3 linked regions of the Caenorhabditis elegans genome follow. The protein of the gene in region 1 purifies or fractionates together with the protein of each later gene. This does not show direct contact. Each region holds a gene or a part of one and is shown on either strand. Other genes may lie near its edges. The genes, in order: ubxn-4, cdc-48.2 and cdc-48.1.

Evidence for each region.
Region 2: the proteins of ubxn-4 (region 1) and cdc-48.2 purify together in Caenorhabditis elegans (affinity purification with western blotting, with the first as the bait; one study listed by BioGRID). This does not show direct contact.
Region 3: the proteins of ubxn-4 (region 1) and cdc-48.1 purify together in Caenorhabditis elegans (affinity purification with western blotting, with the first as the bait; one study listed by BioGRID). This does not show direct contact.

The regions. Positions count from the first base shown.
Region 1 is NC_003281.10:8,402,691-8,408,105, reverse strand, and holds ubxn-4 (UBX domain-containing protein 4), read left to right. Parts: upstream 1-2,683; 5' UTR 2,684-2,684; coding exon 2,685-2,895; intron 2,896-2,948; coding exon 2,949-3,474; intron 3,475-3,518; coding exon 3,519-3,626; intron 3,627-3,671; coding exon 3,672-4,146; intron 4,147-4,192; coding exon 4,193-4,282; 3' UTR 4,283-4,388; downstream 4,389-5,415. Other genes in the region: cyy-1 (Cyclin-Y), read right to left, coding at 1-109, 160-326, 1,006-1,125, 1,180-1,322, 1,368-1,484, 1,534-1,608, 1,656-1,740, 2,000-2,098; cutc-1 (Copper homeostasis protein cutC homolog), read left to right, coding at 4,499-4,815, 5,148-5,415.
Region 2 is NC_003280.10:8,135,651-8,142,081, forward strand, and holds cdc-48.2 (Transitional endoplasmic reticulum ATPase homolog 2), read left to right. Parts: upstream 1-2,845; 5' UTR 2,846-2,860; coding exon 2,861-2,932; intron 2,933-2,980; coding exon 2,981-3,306; intron 3,307-3,352; coding exon 3,353-4,328; intron 4,329-4,380; coding exon 4,381-5,099; intron 5,100-5,158; coding exon 5,159-5,498; 3' UTR 5,499-5,580; downstream 5,581-6,431. Other genes in the region: ctns-1 (Cystinosin homolog), read right to left, coding at 212-502, 550-790, 841-1,032, 1,124-1,257; ints-11 (Integrator complex subunit 11), read right to left, coding at 5,636-5,989, 6,036-6,119, 6,166-6,431. UniProt on the Caenorhabditis elegans protein: ATP-dependent chaperone which probably uses the energy provided by ATP hydrolysis to generate mechanical force to unfold substrate proteins, disassemble protein complexes, and disaggregate protein aggregates.
Region 3 is NC_003280.10:10,559,023-10,565,892, reverse strand, and holds cdc-48.1 (Transitional endoplasmic reticulum ATPase homolog 1), read left to right. Parts: upstream 1-2,485; 5' UTR 2,486-2,502; coding exon 2,503-2,700; intron 2,701-2,828; exon of another isoform or gene 2,829-2,941; intron 2,942-2,978; coding exon 2,979-3,806; intron 3,807-3,852; coding exon 3,853-4,925; intron 4,926-4,958; exon of another isoform or gene 4,959-5,176; intron 5,177-5,180; coding exon 5,181-5,375; intron 5,376-5,424; coding exon 5,425-5,560; 3' UTR 5,561-5,862; downstream 5,863-6,870. Other genes in the region: C06A1.7 (uncharacterized protein), read right to left, coding at 492-884, 931-981; C06A1.6 (uncharacterized protein), read left to right, coding at 1,217-1,282, 1,326-1,718. UniProt on the Caenorhabditis elegans protein: ATP-dependent chaperone which probably uses the energy provided by ATP hydrolysis to generate mechanical force to unfold substrate proteins, disassemble protein complexes, and disaggregate protein aggregates.

The sequences.
Region 1 (5,415 bases):
ATTTGCAAGTGCCAATGTTCGAAGATCGAAATAATACTTGGCATACACCGACGACGGAACTTCAATATTAAAGTCGAGACATTCCAAAAACCGCCGTTCTAATTCGTTCCTGAAATAATTTAATTACGGGGTTTCTGACCAAATAAAAAAAATACTTACATATCGTCAACATTTGTATCTCGAAGAATTTGGCAATAATCAACATTCCAAACAGCTTGATCATCCCATACTTTTGATGCCAACATGATTGAACCGAGTACAACCCGACGCCAATTTGAAGGACACAAATCCATTTCTGCGTAATTAAGCAATCGTTCGATGTACACCTGAAAAAATGGTTTTCGCGTTTTTATACAAAATTGATAAATTTATTAAAGAAAAGAGAAATGCGTCGGCAGCAGAAAATCAAAATTGGGTAATTCAACTACGATAGCGAAAAGTTAAAATATTACCAGTGCGTGAATTTTTTGCGCTACAAATACAGTACATGGTCTCGACACGATAAATGCGGAAAGGTGTGCGTCTTTAAAGATTACTGTAATTTCAAACTTTGGATCCCCGACATTTTCATAATTTTTTTTCTAATTTTCTCATGATCTGTTAAAATTTATGTAGTTTTTAACAAATCAATATTTTTCATCGGAAAAATACGAAAAATCAATGAAAATTCCGTAGTCGAAAGAATTTGAAATTACCATTTTTTTTCATAGAAAAACTTTGTTTTTTTTCAGAAAAAATCTTTAAAAAAGAAGAATAATGGCCAAAAATTTATAAGTTATTTTTTTTCGAAAATTAGATTTTTTAATGTCGGAAAAACGAAAATTTTAATTTTTCATTAAAATCGAATAACGAAAATTTTTGAACCTTTTTTGGCACAAAAATTGCAAAACGTTGTGTCTTTTTAATATTTTTTCAATAGAACAAGGCGAATCTTCTACACAAATACATTTTTGCCAAATCTCATGATATTCATTTAAAAAGATTTTAACCGAAAAAAAAACTCACCAAAGTAATAATAGCACATTCGGCGGTCAACTGCGCAGAACTAAACAGATTTCTGACAAACCGATAAATATTCCGATGATCAGGATCCCGTGTCATTTGCTCTGGAGGTATAGGATCTCTCTGAAAAATCTTCGAAAAATGTATGGAACTTATGGATTGATTGATAAAACTTACGAAAATCGGATGAAGTCGTTCTTCGAAAATCTCCATTAGTCGCTCGTGTCCACGATTTTTACGATTTGAAATATGATAATATATTGCAAGAGAAATGCATTTTATTGTATTCTTAAGATGAGGTTGACTGACTGTTGAATCATCTAAAATTTGAGAAATCAGAGAATGTTTATGAAATCTTTAATTACCAATATAAATAGTACTGCAGCTGCTTGATTTACGCAGGCTTCTGGGTAAAATTCCGGGATGATGACCACCAGCTGCCAATGCATCCAACATATAACATGAACGACGATTGTCTTTTACTGGAATTGATAAGAATAGATTCAAGGATTAGAAGAAAAAGAATTTTACATTTCATTTCACTTTTACTTCGTTCCATAAATGTTGGCCGAGCTGTTGGATTCGTTGATGGATCTTCCTCGTATCCTTAAAAAATATGAATTTAAAAATATATACTTCAGTGATATAATTACCTTCTGTTACCTCTCGTTCACTTATGTGAGGAAGGAAGTTTGTCGATGTTTCATCACGAGGGAACACTTGATTGACATACTGGAACTGAATTTTAAATTTAGGTTTTTGTAGAAAGAGGTTTTCGAATATTTTTACCTTTAAAATATAATTTTAAATAATCTTGTACTCGTGAAGCTTATTAAAGCCCTTTAAACCAAATTTGTGTAAATAAAAAATATTATTCTCTTCGAAATGTATATTTTCAGAGCTTTATAGTTTTTTTTTAAATTAAAAACAATTATTCCAACAATCGATATCAAAGTTTCCATTTATGCAAACTTTTTCAAAAAATAACTTTGTATACCTCCACTTGATTAGTTCTAATATACTGTCCATCATTATTATACGATTTGTCCTCTCCGCTCGACGACCTCGTTCGCAGACAACACGATGAATTTCCCATCACCTGTAAACAATTATTGGTTTAAATTCAAAGTTTCAAAGACAATGTTACTAATTTCAACTTACGGAACACGTTTAATCTCCAAAAACCAAAATTATCGCATTAGGAGTGACTAGAAACTTGGGAAGCGAGTCCTGCAAATTAATGGAAAATCGATAAAGTGTGGGGAACGGAGCACAAGAAAAAATCTGTCTAGTAATGTTTATTCAATTGTTAATTGATAAATTGTTTGCAAATTAAATATAAAACAAATATTTTCTATGAGAAAAGCGAAGAAAAACAGAGAAAAATCCATTTCTTCAATGTAAAAATCGCAGAGAGCGGTGGTGGGCGGAGTTTATGGCAGGAGGCGGAGTCGGAATGCAACCCCCGCACGGTTTCTTCTCTCCACGAATTATTCGACGTCTTTTTATTTTTATAAATTTTTTAGCCACTTTTTTATTTATTTTGCTGGAATAAATCAATTAAGAACGCTTTCTGTAGAAAATTTTAGGTTATTTTATCTCAATAACTAAATGTTTACTCTTCGATTTCTGAAAATCGTATCTTTTCACATGAATCGATAAGTTATATTAAAATTTACAGAATGCAGTGGTTTGGTGGCAACGTAGCGACTGCGATTCAAATTTCCCGTAAGAACAAAGCTCTTCTCATTGTATATATCACCACGGATTCGGAAGATGGCCAGATTTTCGATGGGTTTTGGCAACATATCGATTCGTCAAATCTTTTATGCGCAGTAGTGGGAATAAAACTGAAAGCTGGTGAAACTTCTGCCCAGCAGTTTGCTGATATTTGTAAGTTGGAATGTTTAAATTATAGCAGTTCAGCCAAAATGTTATCTTTTTAGATCCTACACCAATTCTGCCAGCAGCATATCTAATCGATCAAAATGGAAAACCTTTGGAAGTCATCACTCCGCTCGTTGGAAAAACATATGACCAGTTCCGAGCCAAATTTGATAAAGCTACTGCTCAATTCGTCAATGGGATGCCAACAGCAGCTGCAAATCAACTTTCAACACCTAGTCCTTCTCCCGCCCCTGTCCAAGTACCAGCGTCAACGGATGCCCCAATCCCAGCCCCAACACCTGTTACAGCACCAATTCAATCTTCATCAACTTCTCAGGAAATGACTCGTGAACTTGCAGAGAAGGTAGCAAGAGCTAAAGCTCTTCTAGAGCAAAAAAAGCAAAAAGATGCTGAAAAGAAGCGAGAGGCCGACAAACATGTAAAGGAAGAAATGACAAAAGCACGCGAAGCAAAACAGGAAAGAGATGCTGAAGCGTTGGTCAAAGCAGCGAAACAGAGGAAGATGGAAAAATTGGCAGCCGAAAGTGATAAGAAACGAATTTTGGCCCAAATTAAAGCTGATCGGTAAGATTTTAATTTAGTGTTTCTAAAATATAAATATTTTTCAGCGAAGCTGCTCAGAAAAAGTTCGGGAAACTTGTGAACACTGAAAACGCTTCGGAGAATACTGAAAAGAAACAAGAAACCACTGTTGGAAAGGCTGTGCCATCAGACAGGTTAGAAAATTAATTGATAACTGATAATTTATGAATTTATTGTAGGTGTCGTCTACAAGTTCGACTTCCTGATGGTTCTACTTTTGTAGAAGAATTTCCTTCAAATGATGTTCTCAATTCTCTCGTAGAGATCATTCGTCAAAAGCCCTCTATTGCTGGAACTACTTTTGAAATTCAGCAACCGTATCCACGCCGCATATTTACAAATGATGACTATTCGAAAACATTCCTCGAGAATCAATTAACACCCTCTACCGCACTTGTCGTAATTCAAAAATCGTCGGGTTCCTCTTCAAATTATGGATCTTTCTCGCTCAGTACTCAAACCGTATCCTTTGTAACATGGGTTTTATACCCACTCACTGCTTTTTGGAATATTTTCTGTGGTATGATTGGCTGGAATTCTACCGGAAAACAACAAGACTCGAAATCTAAGAAAAACGATGGGCCATCTACATCGGGTCAATCAGGATCACAACCACAAAGACGCGGGATGCCAAGGAGTGCGGAAGTTCGTCGGGTTTGTGTGCATTGTTATTTTCTTTCCATAATGAAATTATTTTCAGCGTGGAAACGTCGCAGGGCTTGAAAATCCGAATGAAGACGATCCTGAAGAGCGAGCCAGTTTCAATGGAAATTCTACTCAGTTCATGTAATAATGTAAATTTCTTGTCGCCTGTGATTCCAACACCAAAAGTTCATCGCCATGGATAATTTATTTTTTGCTCGTTTATAATTCGAATCGAATAAAAGTTTTCATTTATCCCAGATATGTTCAGTTTTCTTGCTGAGTTTTCGGATTTTAAACCATAACTTTATACCTATTCTTTACAATGTTAAAAACATATTTTCTCAAACTCTATTGTGTTAAGATGACAGAAACAGAATCCCAGAAGCAAATAAAACTGGAAATATGCATCGATAATCTGGAATCTGCGGAAAATGCTGTTGCCGGTGGAGCTGATCGATTGGAAGTTTGCTCAGCTTTACAACTCGGAGGGCTCACTCCATCCGTCGGATTTGTGTCTATTCTGAGCTACAAGTATCCCGATATTCCACTTTATTGTATGATTCGCCAACGGGCAGGCGATTTTGTGTATAATGAAGACGAAATGGCAGCGAATATGGAAGACGTTGAATGGCTCAAAAAAGCTGGTGCCACAGGATTCGTTTTTGGAGCATTAACATCGTAAGTCGGAGAGTTTTAAATTGAATGAAACAAATAAATATATTATAATTTTATTTCCAACATGTTTAAATGAAAAAAGAAAAACATATTCTTGTTTCATTTCGAATTTTTCACCATTTTCCGCAAATAAATTCTCAATCAAGTTTATCAATAAAAATTTTACATAACATTTAAATAATTATTTTTAGGCTGACTTAATTTTTGAACAATGCGGAAAGCTTGTTTTTAAAAAACATTTAAAATGCATAGACATGCGGCAAAATTACGAAAGAAGTTTTGTAATTATAACGGTTGATTGCTCTGGATGATCCACAAAAAATTTCAATTTTCAGAGCCGGTTCATTGGATCGTACATCATGTCAATCAATAATTGAAACTGCCCGTCCACATCCTGTCACATTTCATCGAGCAATTGACGTCGCCTATGACTGGAAAACTTGTCTTGAGGACGCTATTGATGTTGGATTCAAAGCTGTTTTGACAAGTGGACAAGAGCCGTCAGCACTCGACGGAGTTTATATCATTCGAGAAATGCAAGAACTTCACAAAGGAAAGATCGATGTTCTCGCAGGTTGTGGTGTGAACAGTTCGAATGTCGCG
Region 2 (6,431 bases), on another chromosome or scaffold:
GTGAATTTTTGATGACGATACAGTACTTTTTAAGGCGCACAACTTTTTGAGTTAAACAAAATCTGTCGTATCGAGACCGGATACCGTAGTTTTGGCGCAAAATTTCGCGGTCAAGTTTTGAAAACTTTTTTGGAAAAACTAGTAATTTAAAAATAATAAAAAATAATTTCAGGCTAGAATACTGTTTACAAATGGACAATATGAAACAAACCTGTGGGAAATATTTACAGCAGGTTACAGCCATTTTTATGTACGACAAACTGGTCACAAACGAGAGCAATTGAATTTTCCTGAGAACCGTGGCGGCAGCGGAGCAGAATCCAAAAGAGATCAGCACAATCATAAGGGCGATACATTTTGAAGAAACACTCTGATTATCACGTTCATAGAATAAACATTGAAGAATTGTGATAAAGCAGGCAAGAAATGCGTGAACAGCGAACACAACATCGTTCAAAAGTACTGGTGGCGGTGACCGAGGATTCACAATATTGTATTCATTCTGAAAGAAGATGAATTAATTTTAGTTATTTATTTTCTAGTTCTCACCTTTACATGACTATTATAATACATTAACAGATTGAAAATAGCATATGCACAAAATCCGACAAGGTTCAGAGATAAGAAATCGAAGTTTAGCCCGACGACGCTTTTTCTTTTGAAATTCAGATACATTTGGGGATAAAACGAAATACTCCATGCGAAGAAGTATGTCCATCCAACAATTTGAATCAAAATGGCAAGAAAGTGAGAGCGAATAACTGTGATTCTAGCAAACGCATCTTCAAGACTGGAAATGAGTTTTGATTTAATTTTTACAATATATAATCATCGACTCACTCCAGAGGACAAGTAATTGACCCATCTGTAGTACAATTGAGAGCTTCTAAAATAGCTCCGGACACCAATTGGCTTCCTAAAACTGTCACATTAGCATTCCAATTGTCAACGAGAATAGCATCAGGATGGGAGATGTATGGTGACTGCGAGAGGGAGATACGTGTTGCGTTCAATGATTGTGATGTGTGGTTTCTGAAAATTATATTGATTGAATACAGCACATGTTCGTATGATTGTTTTTATTTTATAACCTGTTGGATGAAAAATATTATTAATAACTCACTTGATCTGGAAATTAACAGAGACTTCTCCTCCAATTACAATTTCCAATTCTTTCTGTCTAACAACTAAATTATTTGTCGCAAATGTGAATGGAACCAAGAAGAGAACGAGCAAAAATGCCACCGGGAAACTCATTATATCATTCTGGAAACAATTATACTTCAAAAAATGGAAGCAAAATATAAAACAGGAGTTGTGAATAGAGAAAACGACGCTTTATATCATCAGTTTTGGCATTGAAATGAATCAATAACATAAATTGAGCGAGAAAAAGAGAAACAGCAAAATAGTGAAAAACGAATGATTGACCGAGAGAACGGGGGAAGGTTGGAATTTTTGTAAACAAACGAGGGAAACATCATGTTGAAAACATATATATACACATTTTTTATTTAATGCGTCGGAATATTCAGAAAATCGTTCAGATCATCGATAATTTTTATTGATAAAAGACCAAAAATCCAGTTTACATGAGGAAAACAATACACTGTGAATTTTAAAGAAAATTAAATATTCCAAAAAAATTTAATTTAATTTGTAATTTGGGAAACTGAAACAATAAAACACTATCGAAAACTTAAAAAAAAACATGGATTGAAGCTCAAAAAAACTGTTTTAATGTTTCGTTTTGTAGAACTTTAGATTTTTGTAAAGCGGGAGACACCACGAATCCGCAAGAAGTTTCTTCCAGAAGCAGATTCGCTGAAAAAAAATGAAGTTGTCTTAAACCTGATGCTTTTTTTTGATAATTTTTATACATTATGTGGTTTCCTGGTTGGCCATTTTGTTAAAATCATTATTTCCTGTAATAAAAGTCAGGCGTTCTCAGTTATTTCCAGATATCGGATTCCTAAAATAGCTGAACTCCAAAAAACGGTCAAGTCTCTGAACACCAAACGCGCTCCTTCGAACAAAAAAAGCAGCGCGTACGTTTAACGAACAGTTTTTTCTTCTAGAAATTGTTTTCTCATTGCGCAATGCATTGCTCATTATAAATAATTATGTTTTAAACAGTTGCTGGGAGGTTTTCGCTATCTCAGTCGTTGTTAAACAATTACCAGAGTGTGTTATCGTATTTATCTTTGCCGTATAATATCTTTTCCATATTTATGCGATTGCGGAAATTTACCACTGACTCTGCGGAAACTGCGGAAATTTACCACTGAAATATCACTCATATCGTACGTTTCTTTGAATTCGTCTCCTTGTTATTCAAATTATGTCTTCGTTTTTGAACGAGATATTTACCTCTAGCTTTCTAGATCGTCACATCACTTAGGTTCGCCTTGAACTTCTGTTCCGCTAAAGACGGCTGGTTCACATATATTTTTAACAATGTAATTATTACTTATGACCCGAATAAAACGGTAGAACGCTTTGTGAAATTATTCGAAAGCAAATGCGCCCCAAGGAGAGAGTGTGAATGAGAGGCTGCGTTTTGTCATCATGTAGAGGCAGCATTGGGGTGTTCTGTAGAGAACTTAGTCTACGTGTCTCATCTTCCATATTTCTTAATTTTGTTCTATTGGCTCTTTTTGCATCTCTTCTTTGATTCGATTCTTTAACTGAATTAGATCAGAAATTATACTTGAAGTTTTATCTTGAAAACCTACTGTAGAAAAGTTTGTCCGTGTTCTACTTTCTTATTAGACTTTCGCGTTTCGGCCTTTCCTATGTTCTACCCCCATCTTCCGTTCTTTTTTATTATTCCAAGATTTTACAGAGAAGTCGTTTAACCATGGCCTCAGTTCCGACTCAGAGAGACGAGAAGGAAAAGAAGAATGATGAGCTGGCTACGGCTATCTTGAAAGTAGGTTTTTCTCCAAGGTAATCATTTCAATATAATTAACTCTTTCAGGACAAAAAACGCCCAAACAGACTCATTATCGATCAGTCTGACAATGACGACAACTCCATGGTCATGCTCTCACAGGCCAAAATGGACGAGCTGGGACTCTTCCGTGGAGATTCGGTGATTTTGAAAGGAAAGAAACGAAGAGAGACTGTCTCTATCGTTCTTAATGCGGACAATTGCCCGAATGACAAGATCAAGATGAACAAAGTGGTTCGAAACAACCTCAGAAGCCGTCTTGGAGACGTTGTCAGTATCTCAAGTGCTCAACTCGAATATGGAAAAAGGGTTCATGTTCTTCCAATTGATGACACAATCGAGGGATTGACTGGGTATGTTCTTGCCACGGAGAAATAAAGACTGTATTTTTTATTTTAGAAATCTATTTGATGTCTTCCTTCGGCCATACTTTACCGACGCCTACCGCCCAGTGCACAAGGGAGACATATTCACTGTTCAAGCTGCAATGAGAACTGTCGAGTTCAAAGTTGTCGAGACGGATCCTGCTCCGGCGTGTATTGTTGCTCCAGATACTGTTATTCACTATGAAGGAGATCCAATTAAAAGAGAGGAAGAAGAGGAGGCTCTCAATGAAGTTGGATACGATGATCTCGGAGGTGTTCGTAAACAACTCGCTCAGATCAAGGAAATGGTTGAGCTCCCACTTCGCCATCCCCAACTTTTCAAGGCTATCGGAGTGAAACCACCACGTGGAATTCTTCTGTTCGGTCCACCAGGAACCGGTAAGACACTGATCGCAAGAGCTGTCGCCAACGAAACAGGAGCATTCTTCTTCCTCATTAACGGACCGGAAATTATGTCTAAAATGTCTGGAGAGTCGGAATCGAATCTTCGTAAAGCATTTGCCGAGTGTGAGAAGAACTCACCTGCTATTTTGTTCATTGACGAGATCGATGCGATTGCTCCAAAGAGAGAAAAGGCTCACGGTGAAGTCGAGAAGCGTATCGTCTCGCAACTTCTCACACTTATGGATGGACTTAAAACTCGCGCTCATGTTGTCGTGATCGCCGCTACTAATCGTCCTAACTCTATTGATGGAGCCCTTCGTCGTTTCGGTCGCTTTGATCGTGAAATTGACATTGGAATCCCTGATGCTGTTGGCCGTCTGGAAATTCTCAGAATTCATACCAAGAACATGAAATTAGGAGAAGACGTTGATTTGGAACAAGTTGCAAACGAATGCCACGGATTTGTCGGAGCTGATTTGGCTTCCCTCTGCTCTGAGGCTGCTATTCAGCAAATTCGCGAAAAGATGGAGCTGATTGATTTGGAGGATGATACAATTGATGCTGAAGTTCTCAATTCTTTGGCGGTCACTATGGAGAACTTTAGAGTAAGTTATCATTTTTTTGCACTTAAGAGACGTATCATTAATCATTTTTCAGTTCGCAATGGGAAAATCATCCCCATCTGCTCTTCGCGAAGCCGTTGTGGAAACTCCAAATACTACTTGGTCCGACATCGGAGGTCTTCAAAACGTCAAGCGCGAACTTCAGGAGCTCGTTCAATACCCTGTAGAGCATCCAGAAAAGTATCTCAAGTTCGGAATGCAACCATCTCGTGGAGTTTTGTTCTACGGTCCACCAGGATGCGGTAAAACACTTCTCGCTAAAGCGATTGCCAATGAATGCCAGGCTAACTTCATTTCCATCAAGGGACCCGAGCTTCTTACTATGTGGTTCGGAGAATCCGAAGCTAATGTTCGCGACGTGTTTGATAAAGCTCGTGCTGCCGCTCCATGCGTTCTCTTCTTTGACGAACTCGATTCGATCGCAAAGGCCAGAGGAGGAAGTGTAGGAGATGCTGGAGGTGCTGCCGATCGTGTTATCAACCAGGTTCTCACTGAAATGGATGGTATGAATGCCAAGAAAAACGTGTTCATTATTGGAGCTACCAATCGTCCTGATATCATTGATCCAGCTGTTCTTCGTCCAGGACGTCTCGATCAGTTGATCTACATTCCTCTTCCTGACGAAGCATCTAGACTTCAAATTTTCAAGGCCTCACTCCGCAAAACGCCCCTTTCCGCCGATCTCGATTTGAACTTCCTTGCCAAGAACACCGTCGGTTTTTCGGGAGCCGACTTAACCGAAATTTGCCAAAGGTTTGTTATAAAAATTAGTTAAAAAAATATTCGCATTTGTCAATTAATACCATTTTCAGAGCATGCAAGCTTGCCATTCGTGAATCAATTGAACGGGAAATTCGTCAGGAAAAGGAGCGTCAGGACAGAAGTGCTCGTGGAGAAGAACTTATGGAGGATGAACTGGCTGACCCAGTTCCAGAAATAACTAGAGCACACTTCGAGGAGGCAATGAAGTTCGCTAGACGTTCCGTGACTGATAACGATATCAGAAAATACGAGATGTTCGCCCAGACTCTTCAACAATCTCGTGGATTTGGAAACAACTTCAAGTTCCCAGGAGAAGCTCCTTCTGCTGGACAACCTGTTGGAGGAAACGGTGGCTCCGGTGGAAATGACGATGATGACCTGTACAACTAGATTTCGCTAAAATTGTTTTATTCTATTTATTGTAAATGCATCCTTGCGAGGGTATCAAATGTTCTCATGAATGTTAAATTTATTTCCAACTTTTACAAGTAAAAAAATCGTAACCGTAAAAAGTATTTGTTAAAATCTTATGCTTTAACAGAGATAGCAGGAGGGACCGGGGAGGATTCGGGTGAAATGAGATCAGTGATGGCTTTATGGATAACCTTGAACCACTGTTCACGGCATTCGTCCCAGATCAGTTCAAGCTCTGTTTCATCAGAATTGTTTGCTAAAATAGTGATTTCTCCATCAAACATTTCAATGCCGTCGTCTTTTAGTTGCAAGTGTGGATCATAGAGTAGAAGCTCGTTTGATAATTCCTTCCAATTCACTTTTTTGCCTTTGATGATTTCTGACAATGAGAGAGTGATCGGCATGCAGTTTTTATCTTTTATCAAATCTTCTGATTCTGCTGTAGACATGATATTCAGTCGTTCATTCTAAAATTATTTGAAGTTATTGCAAAATAAAGTTCAATAATCTTACTTCTTGATCGTAAACGAGCTCGGCGACAAATGGGCATTCCGATTTGGCAGGATTCGGATCGAGGCTTAGGCTTCTGTCAATTTTCTGGAATTTTTTATTTGAGTTCAATTTGTTTTAGAAACACACAAACCTCAAGTGGAACTCGTATATCAAGCTTCGGTTGAGCAGAAATCACTACAGTCTCTCCGTTTGCTGGCATGTGAACAGGTACTTTGTACTCCTTTTCCACTTTTCCTTTCAAGAACTCCATCTTTGAAGCTTCGCCGTGCACAAACATGACGTGTTGAGGCTCACATTGACGGATAAGCTGCATAATTCCTTTAGCATCAGCATGAGCACTAAACGACATGTATTCCACACCAAGTCGAATTTCGTGCATCTTTTGATCAATTTCAA
Region 3 (6,870 bases), on another chromosome or scaffold:
TTTAGCTTTAGATTAACTTTAGAATTACTTGGAATTGATAAGCTTGATGTAAGCTGTAGAATATAACAAAGGAAAGCCACGGCCTACTTGCCTGCCTACTAGTTCACCTATATTTTGACAGAAAGACATTTCTGTTGTTCCAGACAAGCACAAAGTCTTAGAGTAACGAGAATATGTTCCAGAAATCCTCAAATGTATTCCTCTTGTTGTTTTCTCTTGGTGCAAAACTTTGAAACGGATGCTCGTCAGTACTGACGTAAAATGGAACGAGTTGAAATTGTGACACTCCCTGTCTATCTCTTGTTTTTCTTCCGTTTTGCATTCGGTCTCAAGATTATCTCAAAATTATTAAATGCAAAAATTTAAATACAACAGAATAAATAATTTAAGTTGAAAGAGGACGGTTTTTCTGCAGGGTACATAAGAATGCTTTATTTTAACCTTCTTGTTTATTAAATTAAATTTAATTAATTAAGAAAATAGATTAAGGTTCAACATTTGCCATTGGATGACCTTCTTCTGATTCCAAGAGCACGATTAGCTTCATCAATTTGAAGCTTTTGAAGGGAACGACGCTTACGGCCTCCACCTCCACATCCACAGCATCCGCATCCGCAACCACATCCACAACAGCATGGTCTACAGCAGGTACAACATCTAGTACAGCAACAAGTTCTACAACAAGTACAACAACATTTGGGTCTACAACAGCAGCAGCATCTTGGTCTGCAGCAGCAACATCCACATCCACCACCACCTCCTCCACATCCACAACATCCACAACATCCTCCATTTCTTTTAACACGAGAAGATCCGATAATTGATGTTTCAGATGAAATTATAGATATTTCTGTTGTTGATACTGGCAAAACTCCTGATTCAACCTATAATAGTATTGTGTTTTCTAACATTTAGAACCTTTACCGATACCTGTGAAATAGCAATAAGGGCAAAGAGAGTCAGAAGTACGATCTTATTCATTTCAGATTATTAGCGTTCGATATGGTTTTCGAATTTCCATCCATTAAATACCCTCTTCTTCTTACGTGTTTGTCGTCTCTCATTTGACACTTTTGCCGGAAACCATTTTTTGTGATCTCTCCGCGCGAGCCGCGTCATGGAAATTGAACACAAAAACTAAGACACTTTGGATCATGGAAAAGTTATATAAAAGCACCATAAAATTGAGATATTCATCAGTTTCTATTCGATCAAAATGACCAAATTCATAATTGGATCTACATTAGTTGTACTGATTTATACAATTGTATCGATTTCACAGGTTAGATTAATAGATTTAGTTCTCGTATTTAAGAAACTTATAGGTTGAATCAGGAGTTTTGCCAGTATCAACAACAGAAATATCTATAATTTCATCTGAAACATCAATTATCGGATCTTCTCGTGTTAAAAGAAATGGAGGATGTTGTGGATGTTGTGGATGTGGAGGAGGTGGTGGTGGATGTGGATGTTGCTGTTGCAGACCAAGATGCTGCTGCTGTTGTAGACCCAAATGTTGTTGTACTTGTTGTAGAACTTGTTGCTGTACTAGATGTTGTACCTGCTGTAGACCATGCTGTTGTGGATGTGGTTGCGGATGCGGATGCTGTGGATGTGGAGGTGGAGGTCGTAAACGTCGTTCCCTTCAAAAACTTCAAATTGATGAAGCTAATCGTGCTCTTGGAATCAAAAGAAGACCATCCAATGGCAAATGTTAATCCATTAATCTATTTGTTTAATTTATTCTAATTCTCGATCGGGAATAAATAATTTGGAAATTATTCAACTTATTAAATTCATAGATCTGGGAAACTATCAAGAATCAAAATCTTAAGACTATTCTCCTCTCGTCTCGTTTCACATCTCTTCGTTCTCCGTCTATCGATCGGGTGATGCTGCAAATCATTTTTATCGATCTACAAAGTGCTGCATTTACTAACGGCATATCGTTTCGAGACCCAAACGCTGATGTGCGTTATTGCAAATAACAGTTATTTTTCCAAACCAGCATTACATTACAGTCCACTTTTTTTCCTTTTCATATTTTCATCCTGGACCCAGCTACATACATTACCGCAAACGTGCAAACGGTAGATTTTATTTACTAGTTCCTTTTTTCCGAAAAATTTCAAAAAATTGTAAACTGCGTTTCCGTTTTCAAAGAACTTTTTTGAAGTTTCAACGCTTTTCATCGCAAATATTTACAAATACGTCTCGTTATTTAGAAATTTTAAAATTTTTTGAACAGTGAAAATCCTTTTCAAACTTCGCGCTAAAATTATAAAGCAACCGCGCCCTAACGTCAGAATCACCAAACACTTTTTGCGTACACTTGTTGAAAACACGCTTCTATATGCGTGGATGATGACAATTTTCAAATCTGTGTCGTTTTTAGAAATAATTTCGTGAACTTTTTTAAAATCTCAATTTTCTTTTATAGTTTCGTTCCCACTATCATTTTGGACACTCATTCTTCTTATTTTAGGTCTTAAATTGTACATAATGGCCTCGGTTCCAACGCATCAAAGCGAAAAAGAGAAGAAAAATGATGAGCTGTCGACAGCTATTCTCAAGGACAAGGTAAAGCCGAATCGCTTGATCGTCGATCAGTCCGAGCAGGATGATAATTCCGTCATCGCAGTTTCCCAAGCTAAAATGGACGAACTGGGACTTTTCCGTGGAGATGCTGTCATCCTGAAGGTATGTGTTTCTTTTTAATTTTTGATTAAAACGCACAATTTAAGAACTTGTAATGTCTGTGATTTACAATATAGGCTGAAAAACGTTCTGTTTTGAAGCTAGTACTGTTTATTTGCTGATGGTTTTATGAGTGTCATAGTTGTGCGATATAGATCAAGTAACGAATCGTTTCAAAGTATTTCGTAATCCTAACACCACGCAAAGGTGCTGATCTCGATTTTTAAACGGTTGTCACACAATTAAATTTTATTTTTCGATTCTAATGATTATTTTTGCAGGGAAAGAAGCGAAAGGAATCTGTCGCCATCATTGTCTCTGATGAGTCCTGTCCAAACGAGAAAGTTCGCATGAACCGTGTTGTCCGCAACAATCTTCGTATTCGCCTCGGAGACGTCGTGAGCATTACGCCAGCTCCAAATCTCAGTTACGGAACCCGCATTCACGTGCTCCCTATTGATGACACTATCGAAGGACTCACTGGAAACTTGTTCGATGTTTTCCTCAAGCCATACTTCCTGGAGGCTTACCGCCCACTTCACAAGGGAGATATATTCACTGTTCAAGCTGCCATGAGAACTGTGGAATTCAAAGTTGTCGAAACTGAGCCAGCTCCAGCCTGCATTGTGTCACCTGATACCATGATTCACTACGAAGGAGATCCGATCAAGAGAGAAGAAGAAGAAGAGAGCATGAATGATATTGGTTATGATGACTTGGGAGGAGTTCGGAAGCAATTGGCTCAGATCAAGGAAATGGTTGAACTGCCACTTCGACATCCCCAACTTTTCAAGGCTATTGGTATCAAGCCACCACGTGGAATTCTTCTCTTCGGTCCACCTGGCACAGGAAAGACTCTTATTGCACGTGCTGTTGCTAATGAAACCGGATCTTTCTTCTTCCTTATCAACGGACCTGAAGTAATGTCAAAGATGTCTGGAGAATCCGAGTCAAATCTTCGTAAGGCTTTCGAAGAATGCGAGAAGAATCAACCAGCTATTCTGTTTATTGACGAAATTGACGCCATTGCACCAAAACGCGAGAAGACCAATGGAGAAGTTGAGCGCAGAATTGTTTCTCAATTGCTTACACTTATGGATGGAGTCAAGGTATGCTTTTAAATTTTATATGATTCGATAATAATAATTATTTTAGGGTCGTTCTAACCTTGTGGTCATTGCTGCAACAAATCGTCCAAACTCGATTGACGGTGCTCTTCGTCGCTTCGGAAGATTCGATCGTGAAATCGATATCGGAATTCCAGATGCAGTCGGCCGGCTTGAGATTCTGCGCATTCACACGAAAAACATGAAGCTCGCGGATGATGTTGATCTTGAACAAATTGCAAATGAATGTCACGGATTCGTTGGTGCCGATTTGGCATCGTTGTGCTCGGAAGCCGCTCTTCAACAGATTCGTGAAAAGATGGAGCTCATTGATCTCGAAGATGACCAAATTGATGCAGAGGTTCTTAATTCACTCGCTGTCACAATGGAAAACTTCCGTTTTGCTCAAGGAAAGTCTTCCCCATCCGCTCTCCGCGAGGCTGTTGTCGAAACTCCGAATACAACTTGGTCCGACATTGGAGGTCTTCAAAACGTCAAGCGCGAACTTCAAGAATTGGTTCAGTATCCAGTGGAACACCCAGAAAAATATCTCAAGTTTGGAATGCAGCCATCAAGAGGAGTTTTGTTCTATGGGCCACCAGGATGTGGTAAGACACTTCTTGCCAAGGCAATTGCCAACGAGTGTCAAGCCAATTTCATCTCCATCAAGGGTCCAGAATTGCTCACAATGTGGTTCGGAGAATCGGAAGCTAACGTCCGTGATGTCTTCGACAAGGCTCGTGCAGCTGCTCCTTGCGTGTTGTTCTTCGATGAGTTGGATTCGATTGCCAAGGCAAGAGGTGGAGGCGCCGGCGGTGATGGAGGAGGTGCATCGGATCGTGTAATCAATCAAGTGCTCACCGAAATGGATGGAATGAACGCGAAGAAAAATGTGTTCATCATCGGAGCTACAAACAGACCTGATATCATTGATCCAGCTGTTCTTCGTCCAGGTCGCCTTGATCAGCTTATCTACATCCCACTCCCAGACGAAGCTTCTCGGCACCAAATTTTGAAAGCTTCTCTTCGTAAAACCCCACTCTCCAAGGATCTTGACTTGACCTTCTTGGCCAAAAACACTGTTGGATTCTCTGGAGCCGATTTGACCGAAATTTGTCAGAGGTGAGTAATTTAATTATTTGAAAATTTGTTCAAAACGCACAACTTAAGAACTTGCGAAATCTACACATTCTTGGCTCTTCTTAGCTGCGTTTTGCAGTTCAGATTCTGCCAAGTTTTGTGTTCATGGTTACGCGAGTGTCATATTTGTGCTATATAAAAAATCGTCTCACAGTAAATTATAATAGTTAGAGTATCTAAAGTCGCGCTAAGGCCCCGATATTCTATTTTTCCTGGTGTGAACGATGACATTTTCAGAGCGTGTAAGCTGGCTATTCGCGAATCGATCGAAAAGGAAATTCGGATTGAGAAGGAACGTCAAGATCGCCAAGCTCGCGGTGAGGAGCTCATGGAAGACGATGCAGTTGATCCAGTACCAGAAATTACTCGTGCTCACTTCGAGGAAGCCATGAAGTTTGCCAGACGCTCTGTTACAGACAATGACATCAGAAAGTGAGTTTTGATAATGGTTTTATTGTATGTCTATAAAATATGTTTGTAGGTACGAAATGTTTGCACAAACATTGCAACAATCTCGTGGCTTTGGAAACAACTTCAAATTCCCAGGAGAACAACGCGGAAGCGATGCCCCATCTGCCCCTGTACCTGCTCAGGATGATGACGACCTTTATAACTAATGTATTGAGTTTATCTACTGAGTCTATGTATGATACTCGTTTTATTTTCTCCCATACCCACTTTTTCACCTCGTATTTCACCCCTTTCCAACCCCCGATTTACCACTATTTATTGTAATTGAGCCCATGTTTTCGCTTTAGAAATTAATGGTTACGGATGATCTTCGCGAGAAGAAAAAATTTGTAGATACCTACATCCCAGTTGATCAAAAAGTATATCCCATTTATTTTTTTGCATCCCTCCCAATGTTTTGTATGTATTGCCGTTTTTGACATATAAATGTACGATGTCTGTAATCATAATTGTGTACGATTGTGTTGCCATATTCAAACTATTATTTGTGATTGTGTAGGTGGAATTGTCTCATGACCAATGACTGGTTGTTCCGTTGATAATGGGAAGCTGTATTTAAGATAAGTTGCCTAAGTTTAACGTAATTTTTTGGACCAGGTTTTAATATCAATCATCAAACCTATTTAGCGATCCAGTTGTTCTTGATCTTTTGGAAAGTAGAAGTGCTTTTTCATTCATTGATATCATTTTCCATCGATATTGTCTCCACACTCATAGGAGTGCACGCATTTCGTACATAGTCATGAGGTTTTTAACAAAGAAAATGCCGAATTGAGTACTATAGTTGCTTATCTTCAAGCTTGTTGAACTCGTTTCTGGCCAATTTTCAAAAATTCCTTGTCCTCGTTGTCTGTCACATGAATCTTTTAGATCAGATATTAATATTGATAGTAACTGATAAGTGCCAATAGTTTTCAAATTCTTAAAAATATCTGAAAACACAAAATTTGCCGCAAATATGCACATTTTTGTAAGAAACACCGTCACGAACAAATTCACACTACAGTGCTTTTGTTTTTTTTTTCTAGAAAAATTGGTTTTTCATGCCTGAAAGTCGCATTTCTACTATTTATTTTCCATTACTTTAGTCGTATTTCTTCTCGTGAGACACAAAAAAACAGTCTTTTCACAACTGAACGGCATGCACTTTTGAATACGGTGCCTGCGAGACAGAGATCACATGCCATCCAATGTCGCCCGGGAATCTTGTGACCCATTCGCTCTCTCGAATAAATAAATCAAAAAAAGCGGCAAGAATCAGTTTCATGGATCTTTTCGATGCATACGAATGACTTCTCAGCCTTCAGACTTTCCGAAGGTCAAAAGAAAAAGAACCGGCGACAATTCGAAAAACGAATAAAAAGTGTGAACTCGTGACCATCTCTTCTGGCACCGCTGGCTGCTGCGCGCTCCCCGTTGGACGCAATTTGCAATCTCTCTGTGCATGCCTCCTCGA